2 linked regions of the Sus scrofa genome follow. The protein of the gene in region 1 interacts with the protein of each later gene in a pairwise test. Links are inferred from orthologs where the notes say so. Each region holds a gene or a part of one and is shown in the gene's direction. Other genes may lie near its edges.

The links. The genes of interacting proteins can lie anywhere in the genome.
Region 2: the proteins of HOMER3 (region 1) and PKN1 interact in binary tests that used the Homo sapiens proteins (3 or more experiments, as listed by UniProt). The two-hybrid records come from large-scale screens. The link is inferred for Sus scrofa from reciprocal best matches to the Homo sapiens genes HOMER3 and PKN1.

What each region holds. Positions count from the first base shown.
Region 1 is NC_010444.4:58,918,604-58,923,844, forward strand, and holds the end of HOMER3 (homer protein homolog 3), read left to right. Parts: intron 1-848; coding exon 849-970; intron 971-1,463; coding exon 1,464-1,620; intron 1,621-1,967; coding exon 1,968-2,078; intron 2,079-2,186; coding exon 2,187-2,273; intron 2,274-3,401; coding exon 3,402-3,593; 3' UTR 3,594-3,871; downstream 3,872-5,241. Other genes in the region: probable ATP-dependent RNA helicase DDX49, read right to left, coding at 4,664-4,852, 4,939-5,010, 5,118-5,206. UniProt on the Homo sapiens protein: Postsynaptic density scaffolding protein. Binds and cross-links cytoplasmic regions of GRM1, GRM5, ITPR1, DNM3, RYR1, RYR2, SHANK1 and SHANK3.
Region 2 is NC_010444.4:64,806,634-64,812,361, reverse strand, and holds part of PKN1 (serine/threonine-protein kinase N1), read left to right. Parts: intron 1-2,054; coding exon 2,055-2,164; intron 2,165-2,258; coding exon 2,259-2,402; intron 2,403-4,343; coding exon 4,344-4,419; intron 4,420-4,501; coding exon 4,502-4,643; intron 4,644-4,732; coding exon 4,733-4,826; intron 4,827-5,728. UniProt on the Homo sapiens protein: PKC-related serine/threonine-protein kinase involved in various processes such as regulation of the intermediate filaments of the actin cytoskeleton, cell migration, tumor cell invasion and transcription regulation.

The sequences.
Region 1 (5,241 bases):
ATGGGTTAAGCATCCAGCATTGCTGTGAGCTGTGGTGTAGGTCGCAGATGCAGGTCAGATCCCGTTTTGCTGTGGTTGTGGCGTAGGCCAGTGGCTACAGCTCTGATTAGACCCCTAGCCTGGGAACCTCCATATGCTGCGGGTGTGGCCCTAAAAAAGACAAAAAAAAAAAAAAAAAAATAGAAGAAGGCCAGAGAACCAGCTCACATGGCAGAGTTGAGACATGGAAGTTGAAACGGCTAAGTAGAGGAGCAGAGTAAAAAAAAACTGTCCCTGGGCATTTCCCCCACTAATTTATTTATAATTTATCGACCACCTACTGTGTGTCTCACCCAGGGCTGGGCACTGGGGTTAAGGAGATGAAAAAGTTGGCTGGTCCCCCAGGGCTATGGTCCTGGCAGCAAGGGGATTCATAATTAATCCAGCCTGATGGAGTGAGTTTCCTGTAGGAATCTTAAATTGATGTTGAAATTTGGCCCCAGGGAAGGTCAATGCTATGAGGGAATAACAGGGAGGCTTCAGATTGCAAACCCCGCCTCCCCTTTGCAGATTTTGAGTATCTCCCTGTGTTTAGGCTGGCCCGCCTCAGGGTTGCTCCCCTAGGGAGTTGGTGAGAGCCCAGCGGGCCATGTTGGGGCAGGGCCCAGAACTCCAGCCCAGAGGGCAGGGGCTCCATGGACGGTAGGTGAGGAGGGGAGAGGCGCAGTCAGATCCCAGACCTGGGAAGGGTCCCCTGCCCTGTCACGACCCGAGCGATTAACATCAACCCTGATCCCAATAATGCCCTTCTAACCAGCCCTTGACTGAAGCCACCCCCACTGTGTCCTTACTTCTGCCCACACCCTTAGGTGCCCCCGAGCCCCCTCGTCAGCGCCAACGGCCCCGGCGATGAGAAGCTATTCCGCAGCCAGAGCGCGGACGCCCCGGGCCCCACTGAGCGTGAGAGGCTCAAGAAGATGCTGTCCGAGGGGTGAGGCGGGGCACAGGGGTGAGGCAGGACGAAGGGGAAGCGGGGGAGAGGAGGTTCCCAGAAGCTGTTGAGACTCGTTCAGGCGGCGGAATCTAACAGTGGACCCAAGGCTTGGGGTCGGGGAGGAGACACCCAGATTATGCTCCTACAAGAGCCAAACCCAGTCCTGCATCTTCCATATCTCGGGCTAACCCCGGCCGTCCACGCCTCCTCCAGCTAATTCTAAACCCACGGGTGCCTCCCTACCCCCACCTCATTCTGTCCACGCCCCCCTGGGCTGATCCTGCTCGGCATTCCGACTGCGTCTCTCAAAACTGACCAGCGCCTCCCCGCCCGCGCAAGACCCCGCCTCCCCCGGTACCTTCCCACCCTGTAGCCTCGAGGTATCTTGACCCCGCCCATAACTACGCCCCCTAGCACAGCACCGCCCTCACCCGGTCCTCCGCCCAGTGAGGCCCCGCCCTGCCCTCTGCTGACTCCAGTGTTCCCGCAGCTCGGTGGGCGAGGTGCAGTGGGAGGCCGAGTTCTTCGCGCTGCAGGACAGTAACAACAAGTTGGCGGGCGCCCTTCGAGAGGCCAACGCCGCCGCCGCCCAGTGGAGGCAGCAGCTGGAGGCCCAGCGCGCAGAGGCCGACAGGCTGCGGCAGCGGGTGAGGGAGCCCCTCCCTCCCAGAGACCCCAAGTGGTCCAGGCCACTGTGAAGTCCCTGCGCCCTGTCTGTCTCGGGTCCGCTGGCTGGCTGTGTGATCTCCGCAGGTCTCTTCCCTGACCTGAGCCTTAGTTTTGTGCTCTGTAGTATGGGTCTGAAATAATGTGAGCCTCAGAGGGTTGTCCTACCTTTAGGACCCTAAAGTCTCATCTGCCAGAGTCAGGGTGGTGGCCCCAAATAGAAGGGGTGAGTGCCCAGTCATGGGCTTGACTGATCAGGAGGCATATTCCCCACGGGTCAGCAGAGTACAGACTGGGGGTCAGGGAACTGACCCTCCTATCTTTGCAGGTGGCTGAACTGGAGGCCCAGGCTGCCACTGAGCCACCCACAGTCACTGAGAAGGAGGGGCCGGGCCAGTCTCTGGAGCAACTGGAGGCACTAGTGCAAACCAAGGACCAGGTGTGTGAACTGTCTGTGTGCATGTGTGTTTCCTTGGACTTTGCCTTCCCTGATCTCCTATGGGGGAGCCAGGACCCTCAGAACAGATCCTGGGAACTTCTCCACCAGGAGATCCAGACGCTGAAGAGCCAGACTGGTGGGACCCGAGAGGCACCAGACACCACCGAACGTGAGGAGACACAGCAGAAGGTGCAGGTGTGTGTGGTTGCTGTGAGGGTGGGATGACTGCCTAGGGCCCCCAGCCCCTGGTATGGGACAGACATGGGATCTCCCTTTCCTGGTGGGTTCTGGGCAGCTATGTGCTTCCCTGAGCCTCAGTTTCTTCATCTATGAATGCAGTCAGGAAGACATCTAAGGTTGTGAAGGATTCAGGTGACCAGGTACATGGAGGGATTGAGTCACAGTGGGTGGTTTATAAGCAAGTTATTAGTATAATATTTCATCTCATTCCTTTCATGCAACCAGCAGTTTTGAGTTTGTTTTGTTTTTTTTGTTTGTTTTTTGCTTTTTAGGGTCACAGCTGCAGCATATGGAAGTTCCCACGCTAAGGGACAAACCAGAGCCACTGCTGCCAGCCTACCCTACAGCCACAGCAGTGCTAGATCCGAGTCACATCTATGGCCTACGCAGCAGCTTGCAGCAACGCTGGATCCTTAACCCACTAAGCAAGGCCAGGAATCAGACCCACCTCCTCATGGATACTAGTTGGGTTCCTAACCCACTGAGCCGAAGCAGGAACTCCCAACAAGCAGTTTTTGAATCTCTGTTGAATCTCCATTCTTGACCCCATCAAATCCTCACACATCCCCAGCCTGAGGTTGGGAGCCTTCATTTGTACCCATGTGCGGCTGGCCTGGCTTTCACTGAAGACTTTATCTGAGAAATGTTCCTGGGGGCATGTCCTGTGAGTCCAGCAGGTAGAGAACTTAGAGGATCTCTTCTGCCCCCAAAGAGAGAGAAATTGGGAGAGGGATGCTCCCTGTTTTCTTCTGGGCAGAGTGTTCAGCATGTGCAAAGGCCCTGGGGTGGGGTGGGGGAGTCATTATGTTCAAGAAACCACAAGGAAGCCAGCAAGGCTGAGTTGGAATGAACAAAGAGAGGAAAGAGGGCTATGTATTTCATTCCCAGCGTGATAGGTGACAGGAGAGTTTTGAATAGAAGAGGAAAGTGGTCAGTTCAATGATGTTCAAGTTGGCAGGGGGACCAGGGAAGCCAGGTGACATAGAAGGTTTGGCCCAGAGTGGAGGCTGTGGGGATACCATTGAGATGCTGGACCCTTCAAACTTGCTGGGGCCCCCAACCCTGCTTGCCCTCTCCCTGCAGGACCTGGAGACCCGAAACGCGGAACTGGAGCACCAGCTGCGGGCAACTGAGCGCAGCCTGGAGGAGGCTCGGGTAGAGCGGGAGCGGGCACGGGCCGAGGTGGGCCGGGCCGCGCAGCTGCTGGACGTCAGGCTCTTTGAGCTGAGTGAGCTGCGGGAGGGCCTGGCCCGCCTGGCCGAGGGCGCGCCCTGAGTCTGCCTCCGGGTCTACGTGGGGGCAGGGGTGCCCACGGGAGCTGGTTTTACATGAACGATTCCCGCCTGGGGCACGGGCCAGGCCGCAGGCGGCACAGTGGGCCATTCACCTTGACAGGGACTGGGGCCCAGCTCAGCCTGGGGAAGGCCTGTCCACCGTACTCTAGTCAGCCCCGGCTGTTCACAGCTCGGAGGCTGTTTTTGAGCTTTTCATTGTGTAGAATTTCTAGACTCCCTGGGGTGCATACCAGTGCCCACATTACATTTCTAAGCGTGGCTGTGTGTGTGTGGTGTGTGAGCCATGGGTACCTGACCGCCGTCACTGGGCCCTCTGTCCGCCCTCAGTCTGTATAGGGCTTGGTAAGCCATTTGGAGGGCTCTGCCCATGTTTTCTGGACCAGTTTGGACTAAGGCAGACCCTGCTTAAGCCTGCCCCCCTTCGCTCTGGCCATAAACCCCCAATGCCACCAGGTGGGCGGGTGGGGAAGCTCCTAGAACATGGCTGTGTTCGCTAGCATGTGATCTCGCCTAAACCTCACATCTGCATCTGCAGAGTAGGGCACTTGCTGTTCCCATTTTCCAGATGAGGCCCATATAAGGGGCTTCACCAACCCAAGGTCACCTAGCTGGAATGGTCAGCCCTGCAGTTCAAAGCTTTGGGGCTGGTCCAGCAGAATGAAGAACTTGAGGGGAGGGGTGGGGGCGACATGATGTTCTGAGGGGCTGGAGAACCACAGGCGGCCACACCCTCCTCCCTCTGCCCCCTCTCCCTGAGAGTCCTACCAGGAAAGTCAAAAGATCCATTTATTGAGCATCTCCTGCAAGTGACACGCCTTCGCTCTGTGGCCCCACTGCACACCCAGGGTGACACTGGCTTGGGGTCACTGTATGTGGACTTGGGCCCAACCTCATGGCCAGTGTTCTTTCCTCCTCTGCAGGCTGCCTCTTGGCCAAGGCTCTGAAAAGGGGCCACCAGGGGCTACAGGATGGAGGGGCCGTGCACTGCACAACGTGGGTGTCCGTGGGCTCCACCGAGGGAGACTGGGCACAGTGGGAGTGGTGTGGAACTCAGGCTGGGCCCTGAGAGGGTGCTGGAGATGAGTGGGCCCTGGGCTGGGCCCTGGGTGGACAGCCCCCGTGGCCAGCCCTGCCAGCCTTCTGCCGCTGCAGTGCCTGCTCCACTTTCTCCTTGAAGCGCCGGTTCTTCTGCTTGATCTTGGCCAGCTCCGCCTTGCGCTTGGCCTCCAGGTCCGGATCCTGACACAAGGAGGACCAGAAGGTGGCTAAGCTGATCATCCCCGGGGAACCTTCCCCTCCCCTCCCCCAGCCAGCTCAGCCCTCACCTTCCCCTCCAGGATCATCTGCTTCCGCTTGTTAATCTCCTTCTTCTCATCAAAGTTGGCCGCCTCCAGTTTCTGGGGGGCAGGGAGAGGCCGTCATGGGGGGTCACCATCCTGAAGGACACGCCCTGGGCCCGGAGGTCCAACTCCCGTCTCACACCAGCCCCCTCCCCGACACTCACAATCTCGCACTCCCTCCGCACCACGTTGACCTGAGTGAGGATCTGCAGCACCTCGGCTTCCTCCACTGAAAACTCCTCCAGCTTCTTCTCTGTGGGGACACCAGGGGCCCAGAGTGGGGGAGGG
Region 2 (5,728 bases), about 5.9 Mb from region 1:
GTGAGTGGGCATTGAAGGGCTGGGGGTGGGGTGGGGGTGGGATCCTGGGATGGCCCACCTTTGTAATATTGTAAGAAATGAATACATCACACCCACAAGGATGGATATGGTCAAGCAGAACAAACCAACAGGTGTTAGGGAGGATGTGGAGAAATTGGAACCCTTCTACACTGTTGGTAGGAATGTAAAATGGTGCAGCCACTGTGGGAGACAGTATGGCAGATTCTCAACTAATTAAACATGGAATGACCATTTGACCCAGCAATCCCACTTCTGAGTAAATACCCAAAAGAGTTGGAAGCAGGGTCTCAAAGAGACATTGGCACACCCACATTCACAGCAGCATTATTCACAAATGACCAAAAGGTAGAAGCAAAAGCAACCCGACGTTGATTGATGGATGAAGGGATAAACAAACTGGTTCATCCACACCATAGGATTAATATTTTTCAGCCTTAAAAAGGAAGGACATTGGAGTTCCCGTCATATCGCAGCAGAAACGAATCCAACTAGGAACCATGAGGTTGCGGGTTTGATCCCTGGCCTTGCTCAGTGGGTTAAGGATCTGGCGTTGCCGAGAGCTGTGGTGTAGGTTGCAAACACAGCTCGGATCCCATGTGGCTGTGGCTGTGGCATAGGCCAACAGCTGTAGCTCCAATCTGACCCCTAGCCTTGGAACTTACATGTGCCAAGGCGGGGCTCTAAAAAGAAAAAAAAGGGAAAAAAAAGGGAAGGACATTCTGACACATGTGACAATGTGGATGAACTAGAGGATATTACACTAAGTGAAATAAGCCAGTTACACAAAGACAAGTAGTATATGATTCTGCTTATATAAGTATCTAGAGTGCTCAGTGTCATGGAGATGGAAGAAGTGGTGATTGCTAGTGGTTGAGGGTGAGGGGGAGAAGAGAGTTATTGTTTACTGGCAACAGTTTCAGTTTGGGATTATGAAAAGAGTTCTGGAAATGGATGTGGTGATGATTGCACAACAGTGTGAATGTACTTGATACCACTGAGCTGTACACTTAAGAATTATGACCATGGTAAATTTCATGTTACATGAATTTTACCTCAATGTGGAAAAAACTAATACATACATTTTTAAAAGTGTGAAGAAAAAAAAGAATAACAATAGAGTAACCACCTATGTTACCACCACCTAGGTCAAGAAATAGAATTGTCTGGAAGCCCCCTCATGTCCCCTCCTCAATTCCAGCCCCTTCCTCTGCCCTAGAGGTAGCTACTCTCCTGACTTATGTTTATCATTTCCTTGCTTTTCTTTGTAGTTTTAGCTCCCATGTACACATCTCAAAACAGTATAGTTTAATTTGCCTGTGTTTGAACTTCATATACATGGAATCATACAGAATGTATTTCATGGGAATGGCTTCTTTTATTCAGCATTGTTTGGGAGAGTTATCCATATTGTTGCATGAAACTATATATAGTTCATTTGTTTTTACTCCTGTTTGATAATCCATTGTCTCAAAACAAACCATATCAAATTACTCTTTTTTTTTAAGTAAAAAATAGTTGAATATCAGCAGTTTCATGGTTTAGCTAATGACTGTATTATCACTGGTATATTAATTCTCTTGTTCATAGACAGTGAGATGTTCCTAGTTTAGAGTTATTGTATGAGCATTATATTTATGTATCTCCTGATGTTTACTAGCATGCATTTTTTTTAGGGTTAATGCTTAGGAATATATTACTGGAACTTGCATAGAGAATAAAAGTGAGGAGTTCCCTTGTGGCTCAGTGGATTAAGGATCCAGCATTGTCACTGCTGTGATTTGGGTCACTGCTGTGGCATAGATTCAGTTCCTGTCCTGGGAACTCTTACATGCCAGCAGGTTCAGCCAAAACCTGAACACACCACACAGAGAGATCCACTAGAGAGAGATTAAAGGACCCAATGTGAAAGGAAGAACTGTAAAGCTTTGGCAGATAGTAGAAAATCATGAGGGGAGGAGAGGATTTCTTTAATAAGATACACGAAGGATTACCCTCCTGAATTTCCTGACACCCGACCCCCACCTCTGTTCCAGGTGAGGTGAGCACTGTGCTCAAGCTGGATAACACGGTTGTGGGACAGACGTCCTGGAAGCCATGTGGCCCCAACACCTGGGACCAGAGCTTCACCCTGGAGCTGGAGAGGGTGAGCTAGGTTGGGGGGGGGTCACAGGGCTTGAAGGTGGAGGGGTTTGGGGCCTTGAGCACCCCAAGTGAAGGCCCTCTTCTTCTCCCTTGAGGCACGGGAACTGGAGTTGGCAGTGTTCTGGCGGGACCAACGGGGCCTGTGTGCCCTCAAATTCCTGAAGTTGGAGGATTTCTTGGACAATGAGAGGCATGAGGTGCAGCTGGACATGGAACCACAGGGCTGCCTGGTGGCCGAGGTACAGCCTGACCCTGATCCTAAGAAAATGTTTTTTGCATCTCCTGCTCTCAGTTTTCTAGAAGGGGAAGTTATGTTTTGCATTGGTCTCTGAACCTTGATAGAAAAGTACATGTAATTAGTCACATCAGTGTATGACTTAAGCTGGGACTGATTTTTGCTTTGAAGCAAGATATTAAAAAGAAGGAGGAGGAGTTCCCGTCGTGGCTTAGTGCTTAATGAACATGACTCCATAAGGCTTCAGGTTCGATCCCTGGCCTCGCTCAGTGGGCGTTGCTCTGAGCTGTGATGTAGGCCACAGACATGGCTCAGATCCAGTGTTGCTGTGCCTGTGGTGAAGGATGGCAGCTACAGCTCCAATTTGACCCCTAGACTGGGAACCTCCATATGCCATGGGTGCAACCCAAAAAAACCAAACAAAAAAAAAAAAAAAAAGGAGGAGTACCCATTGTGGCTCAGCGGTAACAAACCCAACTAGGAAAAGAAAAAGAAAAAAAGAGATAAAAAGAAAAAGAAGGAGTTCCCATTGTGGCTCAGCAGGTTAAGAACCCAACATAGTGTCCATAATGATGTGGATTTGATCCCTGGCCTCGCTCAGTGAGTTAAGGATCCAGCATTGTAGCAAGCTGTGGCACAGGTTGCAGATGTGACTCAGTTCTGGCATTGCCATGGCTGAGGCATAAGCCAGCAGCTGCAGCTTCAATTCAGCCAGCAACCTGGGAACTGCTATATGGTGCAGGTGTGGCCATAAAAAGAAAAAAAAAATAAAAACATTAGTAAATCTTCACTAATTCCTAACATGTAGGGTTTTTGTTTTTTTGGGGTTTTTGTTTTTGTTTTTGTTTTTTTCTTGAAAAAACATCCAGAAAAAGTCAAACTATTCAAGGGCTATTTTACTACCCAGGGAGGAATTTTTATGTGATCTCACGATCAAGGACCTCTGAAGGAAAGGAGCCGAGAAAGGCTGGCTTCAGGTGGCCCTGAAATTATTCTTCTGTTGGGAAGACTGTCCAAAACCCAACTGGCGAATGGTGGTGGGTAGCCCGGGGGACAAATTCTGAGACAGTCCTGCTTACCTTCAAGGTTTATAACATTCTGTTTTTCTTATGCCTCCCCCAAAGCACCATCCTGTAGAATTTTCTGCAGTTCTGTTGTCCATGAGCCTACAATAGTTGAGTTCTATTGTAGGTAGAAATGTTCTATATCCATGTCATCCAATATAGTAGCCACTGGCCACTTGAAGTATGACCATTGCAGCCAGGGAGCTGATGTTTTCATTTTTCTTACATTTTCCTTAAATAGCCACATGCGGCTTGCAGCTTGCGGCAACTGTACAGGACACCCATAAAGTCACACAGTTCTGTGACTTTAGCACCTTCTAGAAGATGTGTTAGTTGGGAGAATTCAACTAGAGCAGTGGTTTCCCCCACCTTGGTGGACACCAGCATTACCTAGAGGGCTTGTTGAAACACAAATTGCTGGGCCCTACCCCCACCACCACCACCAGTATTTTTGACTTAGTGGGTCGAGGTGGGCGGGGGCCCTGAGAATCTGCATTTCTAGCAGGTCCCCAGGTGATGCTGATGCTGTTGGTCTGGGACCGCACTTGGGGAATCAGGATACTAGATCGATCAAGCATAGGGCCTGTTTGCTGGACTTGTATGTATGTCTCATTGGAGCAGACCCGCTGCCCACCCCAAGGGGAGGGCCTGCTCACCTGCTGCTTGCCTTTCCAAGATGGCACTTCAGGAGGTGGCCCTGTTGAGGGATGGCTTGGTTTTACCACCTCTTAATAGAGTGCGTAGGATTCTGTAGCTGGACACGATGCCACAGTGATTGGAAACCCTGAAACATCCGAGGATGCGCACCTATGCTTCTAAGGGCTCCTCCACCACACTGCCCGGAGGTGGGCGAGGGTTCTGACACTGGCTCCTCCCCTCAGGTCACTTTCCGCAACCCTGTCATTGAGCGAATACCCCGGCTCCGACGGCAGAAGAAGATCTTCTCCAAGCAGCAAGGTAAGGAGTTGGGCCAGGGCAGGGGAGAGACCAGGGGTCCTGAGGGCGTCACGGAGGCTGACACCTGCCCCCATCCGCCCAGGGAAGGCCTTTCAGCGTGCTAGGCAGATGAACATCGACGTCGCCACCTGGGTGCGGCTGCTTCGCAGGCTCATCCCCAACCCCTCGGCCATAGGCACCTTCAGCCCGGGGGCTTCCCCAGGACCTGAGGCTCGGTCCACAGGGTAAGGAGGGAGGGCCCCGGGGTTCCAGCTGCCCCTGGTTGCCTCCCTGGGTGCTGGGTCTTCATGCACCTTCCTCCCTTGTGCTGCAGTGACATATCTGTGGAGAAGCTGAACCTCGGGACTGACTTGGACGGCTCGCCCCAGAAGAGCCCTCTGGGTCCTCCTTCCAGCCCATCAAGTCTGGTGAGCTTCCCTCTTGGCCTGGGCACTGTCAGGAGGTCTTCTTCCCAGCTTGAGTCCCAGAGACTGCTAGGACCTCCCCTAGGTCACACAGCACATCCCTGTCAGAAACAGGGTCCTATTCTCTATCCTGGATAAAAACATGAGCTCAGTGGTTCAAGGATCCAGCATTGTCACTGCTGTGACTTGGATTACTGCTGTGGCACAGGTTCAGTCCCTGGCCCAGGAAATTCCACATGCTGTGGGCATGTCCAAAACGGAAAAAACAAAACCTGTAAGTCCTGTCCCTGCCATGCTGCCTCTAAGCTGTGTGACCCACACCAAGCCACTTCAGCTCTCTGTGCTTAGTGTATTGCCCTATAGAATGAGTATGTTTAAAACGTCAATGACAGAAGTCAAGATAGTGGTTCTCTTGTGGTGGGGGGGGGGCGGTTACTGATAGGAAGAGGACACGAGAGCCTTCTAGGATGATAGGAATGTCCTGCATCTTGATCTACGTCAGAGGTCAGCACATTTTTTTCTGTAAAGGGCCACATAGTCAATGTTTTCAACTTTGTGGGCCAGAAGGTCCTAGTCACACTATTCAATACTGCTGTCCTAGAAAGTCGCCACTCAGACAGACGTGAAGGGGTGTGGCTGTGAGCCAGGAAAGCCTTACTGAATGTATATTACTTTCATGTATCGTGAAATATTCTTCGTCTTTTGATCTGTTTTCCCCAAACCCTTTAAAAACATAAAAATCATTCTTAGCTAGCAGACTATACAAAACATGGAATTTGTCAACCCCTGGCCTGGACGATGGTTCCATTTCCCACCTCATTGAGTGCATTTTCTACCTCATTTTTTTTTTAAAATGGAGAAGTTCCCATTGTGGCTCAGTGAAAAGGATCTGAGTAGTATCCATG